Linked DNA regions of Bombyx mori. The protein of the gene in region 2 binds, or shares a complex with, the protein of the main gene of each other region. Links are inferred from orthologs where the notes say so. Each region holds a gene or a part of one and is shown on either strand. Other genes may lie near its edges.

Region 1 (10,498 bases), on a different chromosome or scaffold from region 2:
GCTACTGAATTCAGTAGACTAACTTACTTAATGCTATTACACTTGACTGAAATCAGTAGCGACTGAATTCAGTCGTCTAAAATCAGTCAAGTGTAATAAGCCTATAAGCTGTAGCGTGCAATATTCGGTCGCACTCGGGCGTCATCGGAGTTCCCGAACGCGCAGGTGTCCCGTGACGTCATGCAACAAAATTCGCGCGCGTCGATTTAAGTTGAATGTAAAAACGTAATTTTAGTTTTAATTTGTTTCTTCTAGTGCCTAGCGTTGTTTACTTTACTTTTGGTTTATATTTTAATATTATATACATTATAGATATTGTTGAAATGGTGTGTTTGACTTTTATATGTTAGGAGTAAAACATCCCGCGAATGCGAGGGACAATAATAATTAACAAACCACAAAGCTACTTTTACGGCATAATCTTCCTGTATTAATGAACGAATAGCACCAAACGCACCATTACCAAACCCTCAAAATACTATTAGTTCGTTCTGTGTGAAATGAAACGTAAAAGATGAGATTATTAAAAAAATAGAATTTATTCAAATGTCGAATAACAATACAAAAACGAGAGATTAAAACCTACAATTATATTCATATATTCATAGTTTATTAAATGCACAATTTTTTCCTATTCATTTAAGAAAATAGCTAAATCTCGTTTGGGCTCCTTGAAGTAAATCTGTCACTGTTTGTCATTTTAAGAAATGATTTCAAATTTACTATGCACTGTCAAAACCTAATCGGATTACAAGCGACTTTCTCTCGACAAATAGATTGTGATCCAGGAAGCTAAGCTATAATGAAACTCAAACAAAAATATTACCGCGTTACATAAAATCATCGTGGTCTGCCTCTTACCATTGTTGGTGTTCTTCCGCTAATGGATTAATTAGGCGCTAACCGGTCGTATTGTGACCCAAATATACGGTCGTGAAGCTTATTAATAACAGAGTGAGATACTGCTATTCATGCATGCAGGCAGGGACGTCTTAAATTAGGCTGGGGCCCTTGGGCACACAAGAATTTGAGGCCCATTTGGAAAGTAAAAAAATATTTTTTTACTGATTATGACCAATCAAATACAGTATGATATAATATGTCATTAATGATATTAGAATGCTGCTGGTTTTTTGGTTACGATTACGATAGCGGAAACCTTTATCGTGATCGCTAGATGGTGTACTTAGTAAATTAGGTAGGATGCGTTCGGAAATATTATTAATTAGTACAGTAGGAATAGGCGCAGTCATGGATGTAATGGCGTAGTATATGCCTTGAAAATACCTTCTGATAAGATAATGGATTTGTGAAAAAAGTGTAATGTGCCCGACAAAAATGTTTTGAGAATAAATGTGTGAGAGATTTTGTCGGTCCTTCGGGGCCCCCTGAGAATGGGGGCGCTGGGCACGGGCCCCGTATGCCCTTATGGTAAAGACGGTATTGCATGCAGGCTTCTAATAGGTATCCCCTTTGTTGTTAATTTCAGAAGATATGCCGCGAAAATGGTCTGTATTCGTTAGATTAAATTGGGTTTGTAAGTTTATTGCACTAGACTTTTTTATATAGCTTAGTTGGAGGGACGAGTTCACAGCCCACCTATTGTTAAATGGTTACCGGAGCCAAGAGACATCTACAATGTAAATACCGCCACCTACCTTGAGATATGAGTTCTAAGGTCTCAGTTTTCACAGTACAACGGCTACCCCACCCGAAATTCAAACCGAATAATATATAAGGTTAATTCTTGAAAGTTAAACACGTTCTTAAATTATTACACATATTTGGCTTACATCATAAAGTTGCGAAACAAGATACATTCTGAATCCAGTTTTCGATCGGAAATGCGAACCTATTCGTTACTGATACAGGATGTTATGTATATATATATGCTATAATAAACTAAATTAATGTCGTTTATTGTCCCACCCACTGCCACTGTCTATCCTTTTTTTTTATTGCCTTTGTAGGCAGACCAGCGTACGGCCCACCTGATGGTAAGTGGTTACCGTCGCCCATGGACTTCAGCAATGCCAAGAGCAGAGCCAAGCCGCTGCCTACTGCTACAATATAATAATATATAAGACAAGCAAAGTTAGTTTCGTGGTAAGATCTCTTGTGAGTCCGCACGGGTAGGTACCACCACGCTGCTTATTTCTGCCGTAAAGCAATTATTTATTTATTTTTATTTATTACACTTCATGTAAAATTTACATTAGCGGACTTAATGCCTAAGGCATTCTCTACCAGTCAACCAAAGGTAGTGCAGAGTAAATAGTGGTAGGTGCAATGAAATTTATATTAGGTAACGAATACATACAAAAAAGTATATCTACATATATACACACATACATACATATAATAGTTTATACAGTATTAAAAGGAATATATTAATAAATTTCCTTAACAAATAACTTCATCAAGTTCATGACGATTCCGCTAACTTTTCCAACAGCATTCGCCGAACCCTTAACTTGAACGTGCAGCGGTTAGTAATAGTCCTGATCTCGAGAGGAAGCGCATTCCATAGCAGAACAGATTGCACGACGAAAGAGTTACGAACATAACTAGAACTATGTGTGGGACAACGAATTAATAGGCTATTGAGAGAACGTAGGGCCCGCTCATGGCTGGAGTGAAGATATTGAAAATAGGAAGTTAGATAGGAAGGAGGTTCGGGAGACATAAGTAAGGAATGAAGAGTCGTCAGTGCACGTAAATTACGACGCTGGCGAATCGGTAGAAGTTTGAGCTGAGCACGATAGGAAGATATATGATCATATTTACGAAGATTAAAAATAAATCGAATGCAGTTATTAAGAAGACGATCAAGTTTATTAAGAAGGTCTGCATTCAGGTCAAAATAACACACATCACCATAATCAATTATAGGGAAGATCAAGGCTTGTACTAGCATAGTCTTGGTCGCTGATGGTAAGAAATTCTTGAGGCGATACAGAGCACGAAGAATTCCAGAGGTTCTTTGTCCAACGTAAGATAATTATGCGTTTCGGTTTAAAGGGTGAGGTAGCCGTTGTAACTATACTGAGACTTATAGAACGTATATCTCAAGGTGGGTGGCGCATTTACGTTGTAGATGTCTATGGGTTCCAGTAATCACTTAACACCAGGTGAGCTGTGAGCTCGTCCACCCATCTAAGCAATAAAAAAAAAATATTTTGTATTTGTGCTATTTCCCAGTGCAACCTTACGACAGATAAGCAATGAGGGTTCCAATGGTAGACACTCACTCCATCTAAGATTTACAACATACAATTGAGGCTTCTTCCACACTCATCAGGACGTGGCGTCAGATTTTAGAATGTGCAAGGTCACAATACACGAATATCGAAAGACTTTTACTGCTTACATAGGTGGACGAGCTCACGGCCCACCTGGTGTTAAGTGGTTACAGAGCCAAGACATCAGTAACGTAATTGACGGCACCTATCTTGAGACAAGCGTTCGAAGTCTGTTTTTATAGCACGACCCCATCCTGCAAACCGAAACGCATTACTACCTCACGGCACAGACTGGGTGGTGGTACCTATCCGTGCGTGCTCACAATACCAGTAATTAGGTACGCAAATTATAATTTCTGCCGGTTTAATTTTTATTACACGCTGTTTATTCCTTCACCGCGTGAGTCATTCGCGAACTCTTCTTAAGTACGTACTTCATTAGAAAAATTGGTACCCGAGTGCGGGATTTGAACACCCGCATCGAACGATAAGAATGCACCAGGCGTCTTATCCTTTAGGCCACGATGACTTTAAAAGGCAATGTGTTCGAAGTTTACTTATGAGTCTCTCTATTCCATCGCAACTTTTCAATGTCTGTCCAGATTGGAATGTATAGGATACATAATTATTGATTATAACTATGAATGATCTGTCTGTAATCTGTTTTTGAATAGTCGAAATATTTTTTTGAGTCTGTGTTTATACTGGAACGTGTATATTGTGCGAGGTGATAAAGACAAAGACACATCAAGTTTGAGACCCGTTTAATGTGAGAAGATTTGACACAGACTAATCTAATCCCAACAAAAAATGCTTTTGGCAAATACCTTTAAATATGTAACACCAGTGTTTGGTCATTTGCTAACAAATATTGAACACACAAATAATACAATAAAACGTGTTGATCAAATAAAACAAAAATAATATCACAATAAAAAAATTTATTCTCTATATATAACATCGGACAAATAATCGTTCAATGAAACTGTACATTACATGTATATAGTATGTTTATATGCTATACAATGGCATATTATATATTTATCGAGTTGGATTGCTAAATTGTGTAGATTAGTTTATAGAAGTAACAACAATGGATTAAGGTAACAGCCCAATTACTTACAATTCAGTTCGATTTTATGTCACCAAAGATACTCTATGTATTACATAATCGATAATTTAAGCATTCCAACCGGATGTTTAAAACTTTATCATAGCAACACCATTACCATTACCGTTAGCGTAAACAATGCTATGATTATTTTCTTACCTGATGTCCGAATTACATAAATCGATTGTTGTTATCGACAATATCGATTTTGGCCAGTGCCAAATCGATTACCGACAATAAATAAAACGAGATTACAAGAAAACAGACTAACGCAATATCATTCTACAAAAAACATTTATATATATATATAGGAAAGTATTTTTTTTTATATAGTAAATGAAGTTGAAAATTCAATGAATTCGGACATCAAATTTGTGTATAAGTTCCTTATTGGCTTTATTTAAATGAAATCATCGTAGTCGTCATCGAAATTCCCATATGATTCGTATTGATTGAGATGAGCCTGAAACGAGAAAAGTGTAAATATATAAATACCCACGATTGAGAAAATAGTGAAAATTGAAAAAAATTGTACGAGTGAGCTCAACGAGTTTCTTTATTGAATGAGATTTAGTGCAGTATAAAGATCCGTTTAATTGGCTTTATATGCGACTAGCCGTACTCGCCCGCTTCGTTGGGCATTTAAAATTAACATTATTATTAGGGAGTCCAAAACTCATAGAAATATTAGCCTATCTATTAAGTACATGTATTTTCTACATGGATACCAAGTTTCAAGTCAATCGGATGCATAGTTCAGTAGTTATAATGGAACATTCGTAAAAACCACTGTAGATTTATATATTAGTATAGATGTACATTTGATTTCTCTACTAGTCTACTTTCGTAGCGTCAGAAATTCACCGGATCAATGAAGTTATTGTAATATTTAAACCTGTTAATCACACTGATCATCTCACAATCGAATGAACAACTATCAATATATTTTTCCAATTTAGCAATTGCAATGTCTAATAATACCAACAAAGTTCCATCCGTAAAGAATTGGAATGACTTTAAATGTTCAAGAGACGCTATAAGCATTATGTACTGTAGGTTCATGCAAGGGTAAATTTTGTTTCAATCAAATGTTTTTGTTTTTCTCTCACAAAATCAAACTGGCTAAATATACAATTATTGTTCAAGTATAGATTAGGCACGAACTTGACCTATGTCGATACTAGCGCGGTCTGATATCAGCTTATCGACAGCCTACACTTCCTTATCAATCACGTTTATCATTATCACACGAATTATCATTATTTCGTGAAATTTGCACGGTAATTTTACAAAAGTTTTCCTTGGTACAAACACAACTTTTTTTTTAATGTAAATTGTCTGCGCTAATGCAAAATTCTGCTGTTTATAAACATCAAAATATTGTAATTGGATTATTAAGATGTGAAGTCAAAGGACTGTGTGTTTTGAGTTGTTTTTGTTTTTTTTTATTCGTATTGTAGACTTTAGGGAGATTACATATCATGTGGATACTTTAACTCATGTGAACTGCCTACATAAAAACATAATTTAGTCTCAGATTTAAACTGGAATGTTGATTGTTTGTTGTAGATATTAACAGAACCGCTATGCCCATCAGAGCTGACTGTTTTGTTTTTTTTATAGCTTAGATGGGTGGACGAGCTCACAGCCCACCTGGTGTTAAGTAGTTACTGGAGCCCATAGACATCTTCAACGTAAATTCGCCACCCATCTTGAGATATAAGCCCTAAGGTCTCAAGTATAGTTACAACGGCTGCCCTACCCTTCAAACCGAAACGCATTACTGCTTCACGGCAGAAATAGGCAGGGTGGGACCTACCCGCGCGGACTCACAAGAGGTCCTATCACCAGTAATAAACGCAACCTTACAACATACCTTAATTACTGGATATTCGAGTTACTGATAACTAAATAAAAAATAAACTCACATTGTCCCCTTCAAGTTTTAACTTGGCCTTGCCCTTGCCCTTTGTGGCCTTCTTAGTTTTATCATTCTTTTCTGCCTTCTGTTTTTCAATATATAGATTATCGACAGTCAATTTTATTCGTCGGATATCCGCTGATGACACTGTAATTATAGATTCTTCGTCATACTTCAGTCATACTTTATCATATTAGTCATACTTCACCCATTTTAAATACACTTTCACATACAATTAACACATTACATAAGTATTAACTCTCTAAAAAGATCATATGACAAAATAAATTTATTTGAGGATCACAATTAGAAGAAATATTATTCTCTTATGGAGATATTGAAAGCTAGATATGTCATTAAAATCTTAAACGTTCAATGCATCATGCCAATGATTTAACATGCAGCCATGAAGCCTGATATCTCATAAAAGCATAATGGCTGCTGCACAACAGATAAAAGCAGATGACATTTCTTGTAATATGAAAAGATCTAAGCATAGTAAGAAAATTTATTTCCTAATGACTTTAGATGAGATCTTGCGTACCAGATTAATCTGGATATGTTTTTTTATTGCATAGTTGGGTGGACAAATTTACGGCTCATCTGATGTTAAATGGTTACCGGAGCCCATAGATATCTACAACGTAAATACCGCCACCCACCTTGAGACATGAGATGTAAAGGTCTCACTTTTAACAGTACGACAGCCGCCCCGCCCTTCATAGCGAAACGCAACAAAAAATCCAGAATTTATTAAATTTTATAAGACTTTTTACACTTTAGCGGCATCTAATGAAAGAAAGTTCACAATCATAATAATGGAGTTGCTCTGAATTAACTTCAATCTAGAAATGAAAGATTTCATTTATAAATGTCATATTCTACATTGGTGACCACCACTGACAATGAGAAGATATTTACTTCACGATGATGATTACGTATTAAGCAGAACCAAGCCCCATATTAAGCATGAACTATATGTTTATTTATTATTAGGTGAATGAGCTCACGGCCCACCTGGTGACAAGCAGTTACTGTGACATCACAATGTGAATGCTGCCATACTCCTTGAGACATTATGTCGAAAGTCTAAATTGTGCAGTACAACGGCTACACTACACTTCAAACTGAATGCATTACTGTTTCACAGCAAAAATCAGCAATTTGAATTACAAACACAATCAATGAAGTCATAAACAATGAATTTTACTTACTCTGGACTAAAATATTCTTGACTAGGTCATCAATGAATCCTGGAAATTCATCCTTGGCTTTATAGAAAGTGATCTTCTTTGTAAGGAGATCAGCAAACTCTGTGTACTCTTCTTTTGTAGTTGGGTGGAAATTGTCAAGTTTACCAATGTTACCTTCTGTTACACCTGTAATCATTTTCATGGGTAAGTTATCTAATCTGATAACTAGACATATTATAATAAAAACATTGTCTCATATGACTTGAGGCAGTTTTAAGACTTGCCAAGAAATTGTGCCAAGTAATCTTAATATATATTTTGGACAATCAATCATTACATTTGCTAGTAGTTTTGAACACAATAAAATACGATTATTGTATGAGAATATGAATGTTTATTATTTTACTCAAAAGCCTTATTGTTATTAATAAATAATAAAATAAAATAAAATAAAAAGCCTTTTATTTCTTGCATTTAAAAAAAAGTTACATTACAAAAATTATAAAAAAATTGTTGATAATACATTAATAATAATCGATATTAATTATGATAGAATTCTTAATAAATTGTGTATAATATTAGTCGGATCAACATAAAATATGTAAAAAAGGTTATATTAATTTAGCATGCAGGCATGCAAGAACCCCTCTTATGTGAGGGTGAAGGCCTCCTCCAGACTTTTCCATTTGTCTTTATTTTTGGCAATTGTCTTCCAGTTTTTACCAGCGATTTTTATTATATCGTTGTCCCAACGCGTTACCGGTCTTCCTTTCCTTCTAATACCTGCAGGCCCCCGCCATAGCGTGAGTCTACAGGTCCAGCGGTCGTCGCTCATCCTGGCTACATGGCCTGCCCAGCGCCACTTTAACTTTTGTGAGAAATCTAGTGCATCTATAACTTTAGTCTTTTCCCGTATGACATTATGTGGGATTTTTTGTATTTTTCTCACATTCGTAATGCTTCTCTCCATACTTCGTTGACAAGACCTGATTTTGTTCTTTACGCGTAGCGTATATTTCCACGTTTGGCAGCCGTAGGTAATAGAGGGGAGCAGGCACGTGTCCATTAGTTTCTTTTTTAAGTTAATAGGCATCGTTCCCTTTAGTATGTCTTTTAGACTCCAGAATTTTTTCCATGCGCCTGAAATCCTTCGTTCAACCTCTAATTCATTGTTTTGTTTTCCAAAGGAAATTTGTTTGCCTAAGTATATGTAGCTATCTACGTATTCTAATGGTTTTTCGTCGAGATATATGGGATGTTTTATACTGTTCGACATAATTTTTGTTTTATCTAAATTCATTTCCAAACCCACTTCATAGCTCATAGTTTTTAGCGAGTGTATCATTGATTCCATCTCTTTAGCACTTTCAGATAATAGAATAATATCGTCCGCAAATCTTAGATGGTTGATGAAATTGCCGTTAATATTCAGCCCTTTTCTTTCCCAATTTAGTTTGCTGAAGACCATCTCCAGTACCGCTATGAAAATTTTCGGAGATAGTGGGTCGCCTTGCCTCACACCTCGCCTTATGGGTATCGGTGGTCCTGTCGTCTCAAGTTTGACTCTACTTGTGCAGTTGTTATACAAACACTTTATTATTTCTATATATTTGTGTTCAACGCGTTGTGAGATTAGGGCGGTCCATATAGAAGAGTGTCGGATTGTGTCGAAGGCTTTCCGATAATCGATAAACACAACATAGAGTGTTTTCTGATATTCATTATATTTTTCGACAATTTGTTCAATTGCGTGGATATGGTCTATTGTAGAATATCCACGTCTGAAACCAGCTTGCTCTATTGGTTGGTGTTCCTCTATTCTCTTACTAATCCTCTTTTCGATTATTGATGAAAAAAGTTTGTAGAGTGTGGGTAGCAGACTGATAGGACGATAATTGCCTATATCAGTGGGATCACCCTTTTTGTAGAGTAGAATCATGTTCGACTCTGACCATTGAAAAGGTGTGGTGCCTGAATCTAATATAGAGTTAAAGAGCTGTGTCAGAGGATGTGCAAGATATTTAGAGCCTATTTTTATTGCCTCGTTAGTGATTCCATCGGGCCCTGGACATTTTTCAGCTTTAAGTTTTTTTATTTCTTCTATAACTTCTAAATCATCTATCTTTTTTATCTGTGAGACGTCTTCCGCTGGTACTTGTATGCTGGTGCTGACAGATATATTTGTAAAGTTTTGGACTTGACAATCATACAGTTTTTTGTAGAAATTGGTTGCGGTTTTCATAATATCAGTCCTATTATGTGATAGTTTATCTGACTCTTTTAGTTGTTTAATCCAAGGCTTGTAGGTAATTAGCTCCTTGTACGCCTTTTTAATGCTCCCAGTAGTATATGTTTTTCAAATGTTTTTGATCGATGGAGCATGTAGTCTCTCCTTATGTTCTTACTTATGAGTTTATATAAAGCTTTTAGTTCATTTTTCAATGCTCTTGTTTTTGGTTTGGTTACATGTAGTTGCTGTCTCCGCTCCATGAGTTTCCTAGTATAGGCTGATATTACACTAGGTTTAGTAGTGTGTTTTTGGGTGTTTTGTGCGCTACGTAGACTTTTTTCTATATTGTTATTATAATGTATTAATTATTGGAGGAATAATTATTATTGCTCAAATTTATGCAATAATAAATGCTATTGTTACACCACAACCAGTAAACATAAAAAAGCAGTGTATTTATATTTCTTATTTTCCTCTGCATGTTGTGAAAGGCAACTAAGGATTTCACCAGAGAATGGGTAGAAGTATTCTCTGTATAAAATCAGCATACTATGATTGTCAACTGACATTTAATGAAAGAAAGGCACAACATAAACCCACACAGGTAGATACCACAATCCTGCCTAATTCTGTCGTGAAGCAGTCATGCCTTTTGATTTGAACAGCTATTACACAATTCAATGAAGACTTTATGTTTCAAGGTGGGTGGTGGCATTTATGTGACTATGTTTGTAGGCTCCTGTAATCATTTAGATTTAGTTCACCCATCTACTCAAGAAAAGTCATACTTCACCCATTTTA
Region 2 (10,959 bases):
CTGTGTTATGGGTACCAGTGAGATACATACTTATTTACCTTTAAAAATAAATATAAACTCCCAGACCAGAAGAGAAAACAAAATTGTTCATTATGCAACATTCAGGTGTGCTGTACTTTGCCACTGAGTATATTTCTAAGGAATTACATAATAATATACAGTTTGGTCATAAATACTGTTATAATAAAATAATGATAATGACATTACATTTGAAAAACCTGTCATTTTTATGATTGTAATTTATTGGGTTGGCTCTTATTTTTGCCAATTTTTGTCAAATATTCTTGTTAAGATGGATTGGATTATGAAAAGCAGGTGGAGAGTACTGTACTTTTTAAAAACACCTCTCCATCTGATTTATATTACTAAAGTAATCTATTGTATTACTAAAATAAAGTAGTAAAGTTAAATCAATTATTAACACTTTAACAAAGTGACTATAACCAGATTGGCAGTGACCATATATAATTTGACTATTCATTTTAGCTATTGACTATTTTTGTCCAGTAGGATAAGCTATACTAATGTCTCCATATCCTTGTTGAATTATAAGAAAATGCACGCACACCTAAGCTAGTCTTTACTTAGTGGCAGTCTCAGCCGGTAAATAAAGTGTTAAGCACATATCAAATGGAATGATAATGGCAATCAGAAAATTAAATATATGAATTTAATAAAAGTCCTCTGTTATTTTTTGAACTATTCATTATTTTATCATGAATTTATTATTTTTTGCTGAGATGTGTGGACCGCCTCATGCAGCCACCTGGTGTTAAGTGGTCACCGGAGCTCATATACTTGAACAACGTAATTGCCACCACCTAACTTGAGATCTAAATCTCAGTTTTCGCTACAAAGGCTGTGAAGTACTTAATTCATCAGAAAAATTAGTATATACCTGCCTGCGGGATTCGAACACCTGGACAGTCACATAGCTCGATACAAATGCACCGGACGTCTCATCGTGCAGGCGATGACCGCTTTTAAAATATCTATGGGCTCTGTTGATCACTTGACGTCAGACTGCCACCTAATTCACTCGTTTATGCAATAAAAAGTACCTAACTACAATCTGTGAAACAAGAAATGGAGTCTTATTTTTATTTTCCCCTCTATATATTAATTCACTACAAAATATTATTATTATTTCACAGATAAGTGTGGAAGCTAAAGAATTCGTAGGGTTGAACAGAGTGAAACAACACAGATTAGTAACAGATTCTCTGAAGAATGAAATAGCAGAAATGCATGGCATCCGTATTCACACGACGCCGGCCGCCACGCAATGAGAATATTGCTGAAGAGGGAAATAGCATCTAAATTTTCTGAAATGACGAATTTCTGGAAAAAATACATAAAAATACAGTTATTGCCATTAGACAAGTATACTTATACTGAAGATTCGCTTTGAAGTGAAAGTCAACCATTAGGAGCAGAATTTTTCCAATTTCTCATCCATCATTTGCAAATATGTACTAAGGTTATGATTTCAGATGAAACGAATAAAAGCATGTGCACTTGTAGAGACATCACAAATTTAATGGTTCTCATCATTCACATGCTCCAAGTATCTTGGAACTGCATCACACAAGCTAATTCCCTCTCTTCTTTTGTATTTTTATTGACCTTTTATGTACATAATTGTTGACATCATAAATTGTTAATATGTTGTAGTGATAGCAATAAGAAATTTTGTTGAGTATCGTATGATATGAATTATATTTGTTAAAATTTGAAATTGTAGATATATTCTATTTGATCAAAATATTTTTTGTTTTATATCTTATTTTCGTTCCCTATACATCCCAGGCGCACTTTGCAGTTTCAACCGTGTAAAATCTGTAATTTCGACAGTAACGACGATCATTAATGTGAGAGGCACCCGGAAGCCGCCGCCCGCTCCAGGCTCAGTACGACTTGAGTATGTGTAGCATTAAGCATTAAGCTCGTTAATGACGAGCTTAATTAAATCTAAACTGAACTCTTAACTACCATCTACTTTTTGTTTTGTATTTTTATTGTGGTATTCCCTTTTTTTAATAGCAGCAGCAATACTCTAATCCCCCCTCACAAGTACTAGCAGCTCTAATGAATACACTAAAGAATCTTAATCAACTGATCATATTATTTATTGTAAGCACAATAACGTTACCTTGAGTTCAAAGAGTAGTTTAGTATAAGTCTGTATCAATAAAACAGCACACAGTAGATTTACAACCTATTGGTTATATTTATTTATGAGATGTTTACAGCCTGATACAGAATCGAAGCTAGACGTTAGGTCTTCCCTTATATATTGTAGTATTCACTGGGAGGTCAATAAAGTTAGCTTCTCATTAAGTTGGAGTTGGGTCTTGATCAACTGTGCTAACGTCACCACCTGTAACAAACGAAAATTGTGTTAGTGATTCGTCATCAGAGTAATCATTGTCAAGTCATTTGTGGTTCCATTTCAATTTCAATATAAAGTTAACTGTTACCTAAATGTTACATAATATGTCAACTGCGACGGTATTCAAGAGAATTCATGACTAATCTATCCCCACTTTTCTATACTAATATTATAAAGAGGAAAGATTTGTTTGTTTGTTTGTTTCGAATAGGCTCCGAAACTACTTGACCGATTTGAAAAATTCTTTTTCCATTAGAAGCCGACATTGTCCCTGATGAACATAGGCTCCTTTTTTTTTTTTTTATTTTTTTGGTTTCCTGTGTGTTTTAATGTTTCCGAAGCGAAGCGAGGGCGGGTCGCTAGTCTATTATAAATACGACGACTGACTATTGTCGCACAGCGTTCCTCCCGATCCACTAACGGTGCTTTGAGGTACCTCAAGCACCGGTCATCGTTCTCGTCGAATCCGTCGCTTGCGACGAAGGGCTCGACGAGTAAATTAACCCTAAGACACAGCTCGCCGGATCTTCTCAGTGGGTCGCGTTTCCGATCCGGTGGTAGATTCTGCGAATCACGGCTATTGCTAGGGTTCGCGTTAGCAACGACGTCAGGTTTGAGCCGCGTGAGCTCACCTACTAGTTATGGTTACGCTGAAATAGCCTCTCAAGACTATCGGCTTAGGTAGGAAAAAAAAAATCGCACAAAACATTCCGGTCCGAGCAGTCGAACGGAGCGGAGATCTCTGTTGTTATCGCTGTACACTTCAAGTGTAATAAATGTAATTCATTGGAAAAGGGACTCTTAATAATTATTGTCACTATGGAAGGCAATAATAATAATGAATGGGAAATATTTGCATATGCTATGCCCAGGAAAGTGCACAACATCCAGCTTTAAGGTGATTCATTATTGGCCAACCACGCATTCAAATATGTGTAGTTCGACTCAAAATGTACACAGCATTATGCTAAGAGTTACTGAAAACGTAGTTTTTGTTGGTAAGAAATCTATGGTGACATTTTATATCTTGATACTATTTGAAAGTTCACTGTTATGATGCAGTCTGCATGCATCATTGTGAGTTTAATGATATCTTATGCTTAAAAGCAAATGGTAAATCAAACCCAGCACTATATAAAGGTAATGTTCAAGAACTGGCTGACATTAGTACTGTTGATGAGGGACAGCAGAATTGACAAAACTATATTTCAGCACAAGTTTTGGATGAATAATCATAGGCACTTGTATAGTCCCTGTGTAAGTAATTGCCATTAGCAACACAAGTAGATCAGCTAACAAATTGTCTCATAGTCTCGCCTGGATGTCAGTGTTCATGAAAGATGTCCAGAAACCGTCCCATCCTTTATACTTACTCATATATTATGTTCTAGTTAAGCCCACAGCACGGTAGAGTGGTTGAGTGTGAACTTACCATGAGCAGATCTTTGACGCTGGAGGCGAAGGCATCTGAGAAGGTGTCCTTGGCAAGGTCAGGTGCGGAATGTGCGAGCTGCAATAGGGCACGGCCCGCCTCCGCGTCGGCCGGTGCTCCGGCGGCCGCTCCGTCCGCGTACTGCAGCGCCTGCTCCAGCAGCGACTCCAGCGAGCTCGCCGCCGACATCACCTGCGCCAGGTCCGAGCCCGCGGCCACGCCGCTCGACCCGCGACCTCCACCAGACACAGTCTTCTGGCACACTTGTAGACCTACAATCTAATCAATCAAAGCAAACGTTTACTCTATGCCGCAAAACATTAAAACTCTAGATAGGTTTTTTACTGGTGGTAGGACCTCTTTTGAGTCCGCACGGGTAGGTACCACTGCCCCGCCTATTTCTGCCGTGAAGCAGTAATGCGTTTTAATATGCTCAGGCCTTTCCTGCTAATAAGGAATTACCAGATTAATAAGGGATTTTAATATACAGTCAAACTTGGGTAAGTGAGAACTGGATAAGTGAGAAAACTCTATAAATGAGAGTAATAGCCAGGACCCGTCATTTTTAGCTTCTTAGACCTCTATTAGCGAGAGACAGAAACCTCTGTAAGCGAGAGTAGTTTTTTCCCTTATGGACTTCCGTAAGTGAGACTGCTACTTGTCTATACCTCTATAAGCGACAGTCGAGCTTTATTTATTTATAATAATATTATTTAGGAGGAACAAATGACAAAACAAATTACAAATTTAACATCTGCTATTTTATGACCCATTCTTAAATTTCATGGAACTTTTTAACATTGTTTTTGTATTGTTTTCTCGTCAATATAGAACCTATTCTATTTCGTGGAACTAAATAACGTTGTTAATTTATCGCATTCTTTTCGAATGGACACGTGTCCCGGTGTACCGTCCTGTTTGTCAGACTTACTCAGTTTATCGTTAATCAATCGCGAGGGAAAAATCTGTTCTGCATCATGTCAAAACGGAAAATTAAAGTACTGTCATTAAGTGATAAACTTAAAATAGTGAATGCGTTTGAATCTGGAAAATCGCGAAATGACATTCAGAGGGTTCATTAGGGAGAAACTCGGGTTAGTGAGAAACCTCTATAAGCGAGAATGAGATTGTGCTCCCTTTAACTCTCGCTTATCCAGGTTTGACTGTAATTCATACTAAACATTATTAAATTATTAACATTAAATATTTATTATTAATTTATGATTATTAAAAAAAAAAAATTAATAAAAATTAAGTATAACTTCTTACGCGCGCACATAAGTACACGCACCCTTTTTTTATTTAACAATATAACAATATGTGATTCCACACAATGCAGTTTTGGAGTTCATGGATATTGAAATATTAACAAATTTGAGTCTAAAACAGCTCATGATTTTGAAGCCTTTTGAACACAAATTTAAACCTGTAACAGTCAGAGTTTAATGGCCTTTCAGCAGTTTTCACCATATTTTTGCTTAATAAAGCAAATATTGACAATGAATACAGTACAAAATCTTCAATAATTACCTCAGGTTCATAGCATGTGAGAGTGACATCTACAGGAGTGAACATGCAACCTTGCTTTCCATTTGGCACTCCCAATGGTACACAAACATATGCACGTAAACCCATTCGACCTCCAGCCAGCGAAGTGTCCAGAGTAACATGGACAGGCTCACGGCATTCACGGGAATAATACTCGTGTATAACAGAGGAGTGGTTGGTTACTTCATTGCCAGTCGCCCACCAACCTAAAAATAATACAAATGAGTTTGAATTTAAATGTATAAGGTATGCTAAGGGAAGTAAAAGATCCAATTTTATTAATTGGCAATTGTCAAGAGTGTTAACTATAAATGTGGAAGGCTATAGTGGAAGAGGTAGACCTAAGAAGAAATGGATGGATTGCATGAAGGACAATATGTGTAAGAGTGGAATGAGCGAAGAAATGGTATTATGATAGAGGAGTATGAACGGAGAAAATATGTTGCGCCGACTCCAGGTGACTCGGAGAAGGGCAGGAAAATGATGATGATGTGGCAATTAGTTGATAGTAAGATGCAACATGCTGGCCCGCAGATTTACTGGTTGCGATAGCTATGTCAAACTTACAATTTTTAAAGCTTATTGCCAGAATTTTTACGCCAGTAGTCTGTGGACCACATACACGCGGAGAGCTTACAATGCCCTACGTGTCCAATATAATAATGCGTTTAGGATGATGTTGTCACTGCCGCGCTTTTGTAGTGCATCCACAATGTTTGCGACATCTCACACAGATGACTTCTTTGCAATAATGCGGAAGAGAAGTGCATCGTTATTGCGTCGAGTTCGTGACAGTGACAACAGTCTTTTGAGAATCATATCGAGCAAGATCGAGGGACTGCTGATCAATAGCCTTTGCAGTAGGCACTTGGAAGGAGAAAAATAATAATATATAATGGTATAAAATGTATAATATAATGATAGTTATGTGTTAGATTTTTAAGTTACTAACATAGATTATAAGTAATTATTACTAACAAAATGTTATGGTTTTAAAAAAAAATAATAACTGAAATAAAGCATTAATAATAATAATAATAATAATAATAATTAGTGTAAATTGTGTGTGTATGCGTCTGTGAGTATTGTTACATATGTGAATTTGAGTATAATGCAGGTATAGCTCACCAACAATACTTTCAGAGGAATTGACTCTTCTGTTCAGCTCGTAAACATCCATCGCGTAATTAAGTTCCGCTTCGACTTGATCGGCATGTTCTTTGTGTGGCACGCAGAAGCAGTTGGTTACTTCCACCACTCCTTTGTCGCTCGTGCCTGCAGCAACAGCACAACATAACCTTACAACGCCTTTACACATTTGTATTGCACCTGGCTTATGTGACCAAGGAATTTATCAAATTAACTATAACGTTGATGTGGAAAAGCCAAAGTGAAATGTGTAATGATAATTGACGTACATATTTAGCATTTAGGGATTTTTCTTTTAAATAACAACTCATAAAATTTGGTACACGACATGACGTTGACAACTAATGTCCTTTGAATTTATAGTTATTGCATGATTTATAAATCAATACGAACCCAATAAGGTGCCGATAACTCTGTGAGAATCTGCATTTCGACGTTCGTATGCGTCCACAATTTGAAATAAAACAACAGGATGGACCTTCACACTAATATTGAGAGCCATTTTTAATTCGACCAAAACTACAAACCCAGAAACACAGAGTACAAGAGAATATTGTAGGTATTATCTCTGCTAATTTTAATTTTTTTAGGGATTTTATGAACTGGTAATTAAGACCTTTAAGTCATGTCTTATTTTTATGAAAAATGATAATATGGAGTGAAATGAAATAAAATGAAGATGATTAATTTGAGACATTAGGGTCAATTCCCACTGAAAGAGCAGCGGCGCGCAGCGGCCGTAAGAGCAAGTGATTGAGCGCGGCGCCGCAAGGGGCAGTGTGGCGCCGCGCGGGGCAGTGCGGCGCCGCGAGAGGCAGCGCGGCATCCCGAGGCGCCGCAATGAACCTCCGCGTAGTAGCTTTGAAAACTAGTGTGCGATCTACTTCACTCAAGGAAAGTTGTGTGGCAATAAATATGGTGGATTTGGATTTATGTATCATAGCACTGGCTGTAGAAGAAGAACAAGAAGTAACAAACAAAACGGAAAGAAAAAGGAAAAGAAAATTTTGGGTACATTTTTTTCTCACGGAGCGTAGCACGTTCTAACTTGATACCCTCTAATAAAATGACGCGAAATGCGTAAGCGGCAGGGCGGGCGGGTATGAAATGGTCGCTCGCGCGCAGCCGCGAGTCTGTTAGCTGCACCGCGGTCGGCCGCACGTCAGCTAGCTGCGCCGCGATCAGCCGCGCGGCGCCTCTTTTGACTAGTCGGTAGAAGGCTCGTGCAGCCTCGCGACGTCACGCTACCCCTCCTTTGCCTTCAAATGACTATGAACTTTTTAATCACGTAGATAAGATTCAAAATAGTTTGTAATATTTTGCCTAAAAAAGACGCTGCCGGCCGCTGCTCTTTCAGTGGGAATTGACCCTAATCAACTAGAATGAAATTAAATGAAATGAGATGATATGGGATCTTAGTAAAATGGTGGTCATTTACTGAGATTTGTGAAAGAAAAGGCGTTGTTAGCTGACAGTTATTTAATGAAAGGAATTCACAAGTTGAGCTGTCGTTATATTGGACACAGTTTTCGTTGTTGATGACATTTCCACAGCCAGGCTGCAGTGACGGCGCGGCCCTTGATTCGCGGCGCGGCGCCGTCGTCGCACACCACGTAATCTACGCGGCTGTCCTCATCCAGCTGAGACTTCTGAAAAATGTACATTTGTTTAAAATTAGGAAAATATGTATATTTATCCAATCATAGAGGAAATGTGACAATCATGAAATTTTTTAACTATTTTGAATTAATATAAATTTATATAAATATAAATATAAGAATATAAATTTATTGCTCTTGTAGGCAGACGAGTATACGGCCCATCTGATGGTGAGTGGTTCCCGTCATCCATGGACTTCAGCAATGCCAGGAGCAGAGCCAAGCCGCTGCCTATCGTTAAGTACTCTCTACAAGCCTCGTTTGAAGAAGGGCATGTCATATTGTTGTGCCTGCAGCACGAGCGACCTGCAGCACGCGCCCCCCGTAGGCCCGCAGGTAGCGCCAGCAGCGCGCCCGCAGTTGTGTGTCCCCGGCCTCCACCGCGAACGTTACTCCCTCAAAGAACGCCGGCAGCGACTTGCTGTCGTCTATCTGGAAACAATACTTAATATTTAAAAAAAAAGTAATTTTTTTTTTTTTTTTATTGCTTAGATGTGTGGACGAGCTCTATTACTAACTAATCCGTTAGTAATAGAGTGTACGTGCCGCGTGCTCGGCGCCGCTGTCGGCCCCAGCGTCGGTCTCGTCCGAGTCCGACTCGACCGCGAGCGACGCCTTGACTCGTTCGTCGCACACGAACTGCACGTCGGGCTCGCCGCTGCCCCCCCTCGACCCTGTCGCGCCGGCGGGGGGGCTCGGCGCCCGGCCGCGGTCCCGCACTTCCTCGTCGGTGTCCGCTGACTCGTCAGTTTCTGGACGACAAGTAATTGGTCAAAATTACGTTTTAATTACATTTTTGCCTAATTTGTAGGCAGCAGCTTGGCTCTGCCCCTGGCATTGCTGAAGTCCACGGGCGACGGTAACCACTCACCATCAGGTGGGCCGTATGCTGGTCTGCCTACAAAGGAAATAAAAAATAATAATAATAATTAATTTTGTATTGTGGTTTAAAAATATTGGTAGCGGCGTCCGTCTGTTCTTATTAATGAATGAGCAATCGAACTGTCGGCGTGGTGCGTGAACCTGCAGCGTGTGGTGGTGCGGTGCGCTGGTGCGGCTCCGTGGCGTAGGGGCGCCAGGGCACGCGGCGGCGCGCGCGGCGGCACGCTCGCAGCCAGTCCGCGCGCACGGCGGGCACGGCGCCGCCCGCCACGCGCCGCACCTCCTGCAGCTTCGGCGTGTTGGGGAACGCGCATCTGCCGGCGACACGACGCTGTACTCCACGTGGCACAACGGACATTACAACATGTCGGGAGGTCGGAGGGCACGTACATGAGATGCGTGCAGGCGGGCCCCCAGACGGGCTCCCAGCGCGCCCCCAGCGCGACCCCCTCGCGGCGCAACTCTTGGCGGAGCGGGTTCTGGTAGCCGCTCAGCACGAAGCGCACGCCGCGCAGCACGTCCGCTGCGACACACGCGACTGTAACATATACTAATGACACCAGCGGTCAGGTGTGGAGTGTAGCGGCCCGGGCGACTCACCGAGCTGTCCCCGGGGGGCGGGCGCGGTCCCGGCGCTGTCGTCTCGCTTCACCCGCTTTGCTCTCGATGATATATTGTCTATATTTTTCTGGACTTCTTTCTGTGATCACACAATATGGACATCAGTATCACCCCTGATGACTAATACAGTATAATAGGATAAGCCTTATTTGTCTGTTCGTCACCGCAAGCCGTGAGCCGGGTCGTCGAAAGGCGACTTACGGACACTGGGTACCGCCGTCTTGCCTATATCCGTATTCCAGTTTATAAACGAGAAGGCTATTATACAATACAATTGACATTTCGACCTCACGTCTCAGGCAACATTCGCGTTGTGAAGTCAACGGGTTGTTCACCGCGGGTTGGCCCGTCCTTCAACCAAATATATATTCCCGGCAACAACGCGACAGGCGTTCCGCGCCGCTTCCGCCGCTCCTGCATCTGGTGGACAAATCTAGCTCACCGGGTCCCCCGCGCTATTGTCATCGGTCATCTTGTCACCCTTATGTCTATTAACGGTTTGGTCTATTTTTGCATGGTGTCTGGTGTCCTCTTCATCGTGCATCCGAGCGTCCCCGTCGCTGTCGGAGCGGCGCCGCCCGGCCGGCCTGTTCTGTTTGCTCTGTCGGAGTGTGGCCGCCGCGCTGAGGCCGGGGGAGGCGGCGGGGGAGTCCCCGGGAACGTTGCGGAGCGCGCGGGACGTCGCCTTGTGTATTTGGGATTCTGAAAATTGTATTCTGTATGAAAGCTGCGAGACGTACCCGCAGTTAAGCACTCGTCTAAAGTTTAAACGGAAATAATATTAAGTTAAATAAAATTTATATTGTAAATAAATAAAATTATAGAGCAACCCCGGGGCAAACACCGACGTGCCGCGGCCCCCGGGTGCCGGCGCCGGCCGGGGCAGCCCGGGGCGACAAGCCGTTCTACTGAACCGTGTTTGAACTTCGTTTCCTAACTGACTAATATTAGGTATTCATTTATAAACATTATATCCAAGAACATGAAAATTGTGGTTCAGAATTGGCAGCTGTTGAATTATCGACCTTATTGACAACACCGCTCAGTTTAAAACCTATTTACCTGTACTCGCCGGGCTGCTAGTTTTATCGTCCCCCAGTTTCAGCGGACTATCCTTCTGGGTGTAGTATTTAGCGAATAATTCCCCAGGTTTGAACTCTTCCTCGTCCGACGAGAAGGTGTCCAGGGCGAGGGGGCGCGGCGGCGCGGGCGGGGGTCCGTCCCCGGGCTCGTCGATGTGCAAGAACGAGAGGCCGAACTGAAAGGTTATATTAGTT
Region 3 (10,498 bases), on a different chromosome or scaffold from region 2:
AATGAATTGCTGTTCGTTAGTCTCGCTAAAACTCGAGAACGGCTGGACCGATTTGGCTAATTTTGGTCTTGAATTATTTGTAGAAGTCCAGAGAAGGTTTAAAAGGTAGATAATTAAGAAAATGCTCGGAATTAAATAAAAATAACAATTATGTTTTCCGTTTGATGTGATCCCCGTCGGACGGATTCCTTTTGTTTGTTTTAAATTTATTTTATACAAAGGTTTAGGACTTTTATTTATCGATTGAGGCACTACGAAGTCTACCGGATCAGCTAGTATATTTGTATACAAGAATTGCTCGTTTAACGATATCAGATTTGCTTCGGGCCAAATTTCTTCAAACCTGTATTCTGATTGCGCTGTTGTGGACAGCCATATGTAACTTAGTATGAATTAGTGTTTAATAGTAGTTGGTACGAGTGAGCTGCTGCGTTGTACTCACGGTAGGCGCTGGTCGTGGCTCGGCAGGTCCGCGACGCCAGCTGGTCTCGGGTCCACTGGATCGGCCGCCATAGCGAGGTCTAGAACGTAAACGTCATAAACTTGATCATTACGAAAGTCACAGCTAAATTTCTAAGAAAAATAGTTAATCACTTGCGAATGGGTATGTTGAAACTGCAGATTTGAAATTCATTATAGTTACTACAAAGCATTCTCTATAAATTTAGTTATATCTTTATCTGACGTACTTATGTATCGTGACGTATCAAAATCGTAGCTAGTACTGTTTATATTATTCCATCGTATTTATTTGTAATGTAGCAATCAAACGGCCGATTAAAAATTATTTAATCTGAAGTTCCTATCTTGGTTACAGTATCTTGTGAAATTTTAGTGTTTTACGTGTGACATGACTGTCTTTTATCTTTCTAGAAGTTAACTTAAATTGATACCTGTCTCTGTCCGGTTCTCGGTTAGCTGATCTCCAGGCACCATCATCTCTCGGTGCAGGTCTGTCTTCCCTGGAACGATCTTCCCGTGGACGTTCTTCACGTCTGCAATATAATTTTGTTTATTTACTGATTTTTTCAAGTTATAGTTACCGTAGTTTAAGTGCAACAAATATGATAGATAGGATTTAGAAAGTCACAATTGCTTTATTTTTACTGAACTGCAAGCTTCTGTTCTTTCTTTCATTTGACAATCAAAAGATTATTGAAAAACATAATATGATGGCTGGTAATATTACTAGGATAACACAGTATATAGAATTTACTGTTACTTCACAATGTTCATTTCAGCAAGTTCAAGTTTGGCCATAAAATTGATAGATGAAGTGGTGAATATAGTATGTGGAATGGATATCTATTATAAAGAAACTGTAACGAAAATTGTAACTTTGTGGGAAACAATTGTAATTTTGTGGAGGATCAGGATCCTGTTTCAATAAAGTTTTGTTAGACAGAAAAGTATACATGAAGCGTTTAAGACGAGGGTTCGAGAGCTGTTTCTCAGAGAGTTAGCAGTCATCTGATTGATGATATTTATTTATATACATTTTTATATGTATATATTTATGTATATGTATTTATTTAAGTACGAGTATTTTTATCTATAAATATTATGTATGTATATACACATATGTTTAAGTAATATCACTATCACACTATACCTACCAAGTTTCATCTCTGCACCCCTTTAAGGTAGATTGTCAGAGAATGTCTATGGCATAAAGGTGGACTTTATACTGTCTAGTATATAAAGTTATATAAAAAAAGTTATGAGATAAAACATACTTGTCTTCCCTAGCCCAATCATCCCTGGGTGGTGGACGATCGTCCCTGGGCGGTGGTCTTTCGTCCCTGGGCGGTGGTCTTTCGTCCCTGGGAGGCGGACGCTCGTCCCTAAGAGACGGCCGCTCATCCCTGGGGGGTGGACGATCTTCGCGGCGTCGTTCCGGACTGCGAGCTCGCTCGTCACGTACGGGTTCACGGACACGACCTAAAAATAAAAAAATCATTTAATCCATGAGACTGCTTCCATATGATCATAATATAACGGTAGCACGTTAGCCAGCGACTTGGCTCTGCCACTGGCATTGCTTATGTCCATGAGCGACAATAATCACTAACTATCAGATGGGCCATATTCTCGTCTACCTACAAGGGCCATAAAAAAGCATAATATAATATTCGTGTCCAATAAAAGTAACTGATGACATTATTGTATCTTTAATTACTTACAGTGATTGCAGAGCAAAAACAAAAATATTAGTTTTTTTTTTCTTTTCAGGAAATGGGACTCCTGTATTTCGTTATATCAAAAAAAGACACCAGTTTTTTGTCTGATTTCAATTGTTAAATATATTTTTTAAGTCCGAATAACAGACCAGTTGCCAGTTACAAGAATTAAGTGTCTTTTAGAACAATGACCATAATCTCCACTCTATTCTACATTGTACTTTATCATTATCAAAATAATCAGTTTTTACAATAAGTGTGTTTTGCTTGTCTTTTTTTTAATTGCCCTTGTTGTCAGACGAGCATACGGCCCACCTGATGGTGAGTGGTTACCGTCGCCCATGGACTTCAGCAACGCCAGGGGCAGAGCCAAGCCGCTGCCTATGCTGCTTGTGCATGAATACAATACATTAATTTAACGTACTGGTTCTCCATTGATCAGAGGACTTCTTTTCCCCAGCATCAGGTGCTTCCTTGCCCCTCCAGGCGTCGTCTCGTTCGGTAGGGGCAGGTTGTCCTCGTCTCCAGCTGGAGGAGGTGGCGGGCGGGGGGACGGCGGCGCGTTGTCCCTCCAGTTTCCGTTGTATCTCGGCTTCCTTGGCGCGGGCCTTGGCCTCGGCGCGTGCCAACATCTCTCTATAGAATAAAACAATCATTACAATTTCATTACTGGTGGTAGGACTTCATGAGTCCGCACGGGTAGGTACCACCATCCCGCCTATTTCTGCCGTGAAGCAGTAATGCGTTTCGGTTTGAAGAATGGGGGCAGCCGTTGTAACTATACTGAGACCTTAGAACTTATATCCCAAGGTGGGTGGCGCCTTTGTAGATGTCTATAGGCTCCAGTAACCATTTAACACCAGGTGGGCTGTGAGCTCGTCCAGCCATCTAAGTAATAAAAAAAAACCTAATTTTTAGCTAGAAACTAATTGTACAAATTTATGTAAATAACAAACTTGTGTTCTTTCTCTTTTTTCTCTCTCAACGCTTCCATTTCTTCTTGCTGTTTCCTCTCTCGTTCTTCCCTTTCTCTCTTTTCTTCCTCTTCCTTGATGCGTCGAGCTTCCTCAGCCGCACGTTCCTCAGCGCGACGCTTCTCTGTTATCCACTGCAATAATAAATTTAGTTTTCTTTTTAATATTCTTGTTACATTACAAGTTTAAATTATTTAGCTAACGGAACGTTGAAAAGATTGAATACTAGTACATTCGTAACTTTGGATATCATTCATATATGAGGCAGTCAGCGCAATAGTTTGTGCTTACGTATTGCAATTTATTTAAAATATAATAAATTTTGATGCAAAATCTGCCTATCCCTAGTTTCATCCATAGATAACAGATTCCTTTGTAAACATCATTTTAGTGCGTATTTTTTGCCTATTATATTATTAGTATTGTAAAGGATAATTCGAACCTCATTATCTTCATACTAACTATGGTAAGCTTAGGCCACTTTTGCATTGACGGCTTCATATCAGAAATTTATTAGTTTTGCTTTAATGGTAACATATTAAATTTTTATGTGCATGTCTAGTCTTCATTATCGGGAACAATGGTGTTGTTGGAACATATAAGAGTTGTACTCATTTAAAAACCAACTGTCTGACAATCTAATGCAACGTCTATTGAAATTTTCCAAAGATCGGCTGTAGGTTATAATCATATCAATCTTTTACCTCATGTCTTCTCTTCTCGATTCGCTGAGCGCGTCTCTCAGCTAATCTCTTTTCCTTCTCGGCTTGAAGTTTCTCGTTGAAAGCGGCTACCTTTTGAGCGTAGGCGGCCCCACGTTCCGAGCGAAGTCGCGCCATGAATTCGTCGCGGTGGACCGCCATGCGGGACATGCGCTCCGACGTGGCCACGTCTAAGGCGCGAGCCTCTGAGGCAAGGAAATTGTATAATTAGTGGCAAGACAATATGTCACATCCAGTGAGACGTGCAGCGACGTGTAGTCACAATTACATTACTTTTACATTTTACAATTACATATTACATAGTCGCAGCTTTTCCTTCGCCTATTCGAAGCACTGGATTGCAAAACTCAATTCTGCTGGATTCAATTTGTTTTTAAATACTATAGTAGAACTATTTTGTCGGCGCAGTTTGGGTTATAAGTCATAGCCCGGCTAGGGTGGTGACCACATGGCGCGGGCCCTACGCTATTATCGATAAAAACAAATGAGTCATCGAAGGCAGGTACACGGCGGCGGGGTGGTATACGAAAGGTGGTGAGACATTGTTATGTTATGAGTCATTTGCACCGACCTGCAAATTATAGTACATAACATGTCGAAGAGAAATGTGTTTTTGTGCATTCACTCTCTGAATTTCTTTAGTGACATAATGGTTACTTCTTTGTTTTGTACCAAAACGGCAGAATTTATTCAAAACAATATTTTGCCTGTCGGCAAAAATATACCAGCACAAGCATGTGTTGTTATCAACAATGTTTTAAAATTTTTCACTGAAATGAAAATAGAACCCGAAAAGTTACAAAGTGTTAATTTCTGCCGTTCTCGTTAACTTGCTGCGGCGATATGTAGTGTAAGTTTATTATTATTATTATCAAGATTAGTGATATTTTTTTTCATTTTTATCACTAAAATGACAAAATTAATACACTATCGATAAAGCTTATCGACAACAATAATGCGCATCACTATGCTCGTCCATAAGGCCCGTGAGTGGAAGAGACAGCGAAATACTCGCTTCACCGCTCCGATTATTTATGTCCCAAATTGCACGGACAAAATAATTCAACTAGAGTTTGTTTAGTGTTAGTGTTTCGCATTTTTTGCTTACCTATGAGTTGTTCGATGCGTTCTTTTTCCTGTTGCTCCCAGAATGCCTTGTCTTGAACCTGTTTCTCTTCCAGGCTCTTCTGCAGAAGTGGTATTTCTTCCAATCGCTTGGCACGCTCAAAGTAATCCACCTGTTTGTTATTTATATTGATGAAAATTCGTTTATGAAATAAAGTGTTACTAGTTTCGGTTAGGAAGACACAGATATATTACATATTAATGTTAAGATTTTAACTTCGTGTTGGTAGCGTTTACACTTTTACTTAGCATTTCATGTCATACCAGTTGGTGGTGAATTTCAAAAAGGTTGCAATATTTTAACACTGAACCAATTGTTGATGTAAAATAAGTAAGACAGGATGTGTCAGCCATTTTGTGGTAAGTGCGTGTCAATTATTATTTACTAGCGACCCGCCCTCGCTTCGCTTCGGAAACATTAAATTTTATTATTGATATAGGCGAAGCCCGCCATGTTACGTGCGGTAGGACAATAACTGCGGGTGAGGCCGCGGGGCGAAGCTAGTCTAAAAAAAAAAAGTGTGTGTGTCCGCTCCGACGCACGACTGGAGTTTACTGGATATAAAAAATTAAACGAAACAATACGAGAAATAGTTCTATATTACGAAAACACGATACACTACAGATTATTAACAAATTAACGAGACACAAAACAAACGACTAACAAATATATGAAAATACAATAATGAGAGAAACGCGCGATCAGTACGAGGCTTTGTGGCGGACTGCCGGCGCAGCAGCCCGGCGTCACCTGCGATAACGCGGCCGCGCGTTGGCTCCTGATTGGCGCGCGCACGCATCACGCAATCAGGAGCCAATCAGGCGCATAACGCATTTCGTGTGACATGCTAGTACGATTTTGGTCCCCATAATTTTCATACCCCGGGCCTATATATGTAAATCGATTCTAAAGGAGTAAACTCCAAAAAGTTGCCCAAGTTACTCTTTATATCATCAGCTACCTATTAGTGAAAGTCTCATCAAAATCGGTTCAGCCGTTCCAGAGATTAGCCGGAACAAACAACAGACAGACAGACAAAGATTGTAAAAAATGTTATTTTGGTGTATGTACCGTATATATATTCATATGCATGTAGTAAAAAGCGGTTATTTCAATACTACAAACAGACACTCTAATTTTATTTATATGTATAGATTGAATTTCTGGATATTTTAATGTTGACAGTACCTTTTTCTCCTGTGACTTCAGTCTAGCCTGAAGCTCGCGACGTTCCTTCATCAGTTCTTCAGCTTCCCGCTGAGCAATAGCTTCAGCATCCATTTTCTTAAGATCCTGCATTCAATAGTGAAATAATGTATTTTATATTAAGTTTTTTTTTTATTTAGGTTTGTTGACCTTGTTGAATACTCTTATGTTGTGTTAAAGGAAATGGACAAAACGAATGTCCAATATTAGACTAAATAGGATTAGCTGGTTGTAAGAATACTCAGGATGCGAAAAATCATTTTTATTAGAACTGCGACAAAAACGAGTCTGGCAAGCATAGGAAATCAATTATGTTTCTATTTTTCTAAATTCTAACACAAACTATGAAACTTAATTAAACATTCATGTAACATTGTTGGGTATCAAAATGTGTAAGTTAACCCTAGACGAATCACTAATACATTAATCACATGCGACATCATGTGTCGTGTAGTTAGCGTTTGGCTTGACGTGAAAAATGGATACCGGACTTTTTATAATTTCAGAAAAATAGTTTTTGAATTACATATAATCAATCAAAAAAAAATAATTTTTTTTATTCAACATAAATGAAAGTACATACTTGTTGAACGTCAAAAAGAACTACCGCCAATTCACAAAAACTAGCCTGCGTCCTGAGAAGAACTGGCAAGAAAATCAGCGGGCATGTTTTTTTTTTTTAATATTAGATTTTTTTAATTAAATTAATTAGAAAGAGATCTATTGTAATTAAGATTAAGATATAATTATCGATTATTTCCTTTAATTATCTTATGTTCTTTAATGCAGCAAATGAGAACAGTAAACAAGACGAACCTCCTCATTGAGTTTTCCGAGCATCTTTTGTCCGTGCGCGGTCTGAGAGATGTGCGCCATGCGTTCCTTGAGGTGTCGCTCCCTCATGGCGGCCAGCTCCGACGCGTGGCGCTTCTTCTCGCGCTCCTCACGCTCCTGCTCCAAGCGGCGGGCCTCGGCGATGGCGGCCGCGCGGAGCTGCTCCTCTTGACGCCTGATACGTCAAATCATTTCGTTAGTTGTTCCGGTTATTATTATTTTTTTATTGCTTATGCGGGTGGACGAGCCCATAGACATCTACGACGTAAATGCGCCACTCACTTTGAGATATAAGTTCTAAGGTCTCAAGTATAGTTACAACGGCTGCCCCACCCTTCAAGCCGAAACGCATTACTGCTTCACGACAGAAATAGGCGGGGTGGTGGTGGTACCTACCCGCGCGGACTCACAAGAGGTCCTACTTACCACCTTTGCTTAGTCCTATTTCTAATATTAATTAACGATCGTCATAGCTCTGAAAGCTTTTAGTGGACCTGTTTTATTTTTCTAACCTATCTATAACACGGGTCAACACCAATTTTGACTTTGATGGCAAAACTTAAAATTTCGATATTTTAGATCGTAATTAGACGAAAAAATAATACATGGCATGAAACAGTTTGCTTTTGAACTTTAATAAATTGACCACATATGAAACAAAATGCATCAGCATCGTATTTACACTTTCGTGACATTTTAAGTTTTTCTGGGCTTGTACAAAACACCTGACCGTTGTTTATGACTCGAGTGCCATCTAGTGGCACTGTGTGAACGTAAACACCCCACTTTGATAGCGCGTTTTTTTTTTAAAGTATTAAAATTAATAAAAAATTTATAAAAAAGTTGAAAAATGAGTATTATTACTATAACTATCACAAAAGCAAACTTTTGTTTTCGTTTTTGTGAATAATTAACTGGAAAAATCTAGTATAAACGTTTGGACAAAGAACGAAATTTTTTTTGTAGTTGTGTAATTTAGCTAAATTAATTCAATAAAACACATGAAATATAATAGCGGAATTGAAAGCCGATACATCAAATGAAAAAAAATGTGCAAGCATACATTAACACAGGCTATACACGTGTCGTATATTCTGTCGCGTCTAGCTACAATACGATCTACCTCTGAGGCCTACCATCATATAACCATTTAGGGTTACAAATGGGATTTATTTCAGAGGCACAAAAATTACAATGACTTCTTAAGAATTGAATATACATAACAGATTTAAGCAGGAGGCAGTCCTTTAGTATCATACTAGTGTATAGTGAATTAGGGCTGTGTAGTCGCTCTGTCCTAGTACGGACGTGGTCTGGTTGTAGGACAGATTGTAGTGAGTGTGTGCGGGTAGGTACCACAACCCAGCCTATTTCTGTCTTGAAGCAGTATTGCGTTTTGGTTTGAAGCCTTTGTAACTATATTGAGACCTTAAAACTTATATCTCAAAGTGGGTGGCGCGTTTACGTTGTAGATGTCTATGGGCTCCAGTAACCACTTAACACCAGGTGGGCTGTGAGCTCGTCCACCCATCTAAGCAAAAAAATTATAATGTTTACCTGAGTTCCTCCTCCTCGCGCACGGTGTTGAGTCGCTCGATGTACTCCTTCCGTTCTTCGATGATCTTGTGGCGCTGCAGCACGCGGTGGTGCTCGGCCTGCTTGTTCTCGTGGTAGTACTGCACCATGGCGGCGCGGGCGCGCTCCCGCTCGGCGCCGCGCCGCTGCGGGTACAGCGCGCCCACCACGCGGGACAGCACCTCCGCCGCGCGGACCAGCTGCTCGCGGACCTGATTATAGACACGTCAAGGGATTTTTAATTTTTTAAGTACGCGTGCATATATTGGAGAATTCGTATCTATTTGTTTTAATGTATTTTATCATCGAAATGTATAGTAGGGAAAATAATTGGGAGAAAAAATTTTATTTGGTAAAAAGATAATTTTACAAGGCTTTTTCATGATTGTTGAGAATCGTTCTTGTGGAAAACACTAAATATATTAAAAAATTTAAAATATTTTATCACATTTGAAATATTAAATTTACCATTTTAGTAGTCATACATAACTAAAATAGTAAAATAGGATTCATAGAAATATTATACTGATTTGAATAAACCACATCAGATGATTAATAACATAGTTAATGTATGTTTTAAAGTCTTAAAATCTTAGTAAAAACTATATCATCAGTACGTCATTTAACTCGTCCAAACTAATAGGTACACCATGTCACAGCCCATCGAAATAAGTTCAATTGTAAATGTTATAACACTACAAGTCCATTATTCATAATGCGCGTACCTGTTCCGCCGGGGTGGCTTGCAGGATGGCCCCGCCGCAGGCTTCGTCCGCGGCCGAGCACCACTCGCCGCCGCCCGCTTCTACGCCAAAGTGCACGCACCTGATTGTAAACAGAAATAGTAATTAAGAATTAAACTGAACAATTACCCTGCCAACAGTACATTTTGAGTCCCCTTTAGCCGACAACCTAATAGGGGTGTATGGCTCTAATAAATAATAAAAAAGTCCCTTTAGCAAATGAGATGTTATAGCACTCAGAGAGAATTGTGGATCTGGATTAGATTTGGATGAAACGTGGCAAAAACATTGAATTAAAATGGGGAGGTTTTTCCAAACTCTTTTAAATAGGTACCACTTATTTATCTAAGTTTAAGTGAAAAATGAAATGGAAGTAGTTATTACTATAATGAAAGCTGACAGAAAAGCTCTTTCATATCTACTTATGGTACGCGAGATAGACGTATCGTAAATTTATTATAATAGCTTTCGTTACAATAAATAAAAATTACTTAAATTTATTTGAAAAAAAAAAGGTTGTCTATGTTTAGGGATACTGATAAAATTTCAAAATTATTCTTAATTTATGGGCAATAAATTAGATGAATGATGAATAGCACAGTTTTAGTAATAGTCACAGCAAAATTTGCGTAATTATTGGTGGTAGGACCTCTTCTGAGTTCGCACGGATAGTTACCACCATTGTTTTAAAGATAGGGCAGCTGTTGTAACTATACTGAGACCTTAGAACTCATATCTCAAGGTGGGTGGCGGCATTTATGTTGTAGATGTCTGTGGGCTCCAGTAACCACTTAACACCAGGTAGACTGTGAGATCGTCCACCCATCTATGCAATAACAATAAAAAACTGTGTCTATGCTTTAGTTTTATACGAAGTTCGCAACGTACTTGTTGGCGTGATCGATGCGTATCTGCATGTCGTTGTGGCGCACGCAGTCGACGAGCAAGCGCTCCAGATGGAACAGGTCGTCGGTGGCCGCCAGCTCCAGCAGCCGGGAGAACTGCACGCACGCGTAGCACTGGGCCACCTGACGGATCAGCCTCACCAGGGCCACGTCCGTCAAGGCATTGGTGTACTGAGCGAGCGATGAATCTGTTAAATCAATATTCAAATAAAATAATTGTATAGGTACACAAT

What was found.
Region 1: eukaryotic translation initiation factor 3 subunit F (region 2) and eukaryotic translation initiation factor 3 subunit J share a complex: the UniProt entries of both Drosophila melanogaster proteins name them as parts of the eukaryotic translation initiation factor 3 (eIF-3) complex. The link is inferred for Bombyx mori from reciprocal best matches to the Drosophila melanogaster genes eIF3f1 and eIF3j.
Region 3: eukaryotic translation initiation factor 3 subunit F (region 2) and eukaryotic translation initiation factor 3 subunit A share a complex: the UniProt entries of both Drosophila melanogaster proteins name them as parts of the eukaryotic translation initiation factor 3 (eIF-3) complex. The link is inferred for Bombyx mori from reciprocal best matches to the Drosophila melanogaster genes eIF3f1 and eIF3a.

What each region holds. Positions count from the first base shown.
Region 1 is NC_085125.1:12,542,456-12,552,953, reverse strand, and holds the end of eukaryotic translation initiation factor 3 subunit J, read right to left. Parts: intron 7,654-10,498; coding exon 7,489-7,653; intron 6,422-7,488; coding exon 6,282-6,421; intron 4,817-6,281; coding exon 4,754-4,816; 3' UTR 4,393-4,753; downstream 1-4,392. UniProt on the Drosophila melanogaster protein: Component of the eukaryotic translation initiation factor 3 (eIF-3) complex, which is involved in protein synthesis of a specialized repertoire of mRNAs and, together with other initiation factors, stimulates binding of mRNA and methionyl-tRNAi to the 40S ribosome.
Region 2 is NC_085124.1:486,587-497,545, forward strand, and holds eukaryotic translation initiation factor 3 subunit F, read right to left. Parts: upstream 7,079-10,959; 5' UTR 7,024-7,078; coding exon 6,915-7,023; intron 6,648-6,914; coding exon 6,501-6,647; intron 5,579-6,500; coding exon 5,355-5,578; intron 4,104-5,354; coding exon 3,825-4,103; intron 2,381-3,824; coding exon 2,306-2,380; 3' UTR 2,206-2,305; downstream 1-2,205. Other genes in the region: bolA-like 3, read left to right, coding at 1,155-1,289; DNA repair protein XRCC1, read right to left, coding at 8,033-8,170, 8,486-8,611, 8,726-8,931, 9,203-9,375, 9,452-9,599, 9,662-9,761, 10,125-10,384, 10,745-10,940. UniProt on the Drosophila melanogaster protein: Component of the eukaryotic translation initiation factor 3 (eIF-3) complex, which is involved in protein synthesis of a specialized repertoire of mRNAs and, together with other initiation factors, stimulates binding of mRNA and methionyl-tRNAi to the 40S ribosome.
Region 3 is NC_085122.1:3,664,902-3,675,399, forward strand, and holds part of eukaryotic translation initiation factor 3 subunit A, read right to left. Parts: intron 10,454-10,498; coding exon 10,249-10,453; intron 9,443-10,248; coding exon 9,343-9,442; intron 8,830-9,342; coding exon 8,600-8,829; intron 7,218-8,599; coding exon 7,025-7,217; intron 6,296-7,024; coding exon 6,191-6,295; intron 5,115-6,190; coding exon 4,985-5,114; intron 4,062-4,984; coding exon 3,859-4,061; intron 3,289-3,858; coding exon 3,137-3,288; intron 2,817-3,136; coding exon 2,605-2,816; intron 1,942-2,604; coding exon 1,737-1,941; intron 996-1,736; coding exon 894-995; intron 522-893; coding exon 443-521; intron 1-442. UniProt on the Drosophila melanogaster protein: RNA-binding component of the eukaryotic translation initiation factor 3 (eIF-3) complex, which is involved in protein synthesis of a specialized repertoire of mRNAs and, together with other initiation factors, stimulates binding of mRNA and methionyl-tRNAi to the 40S ribosome.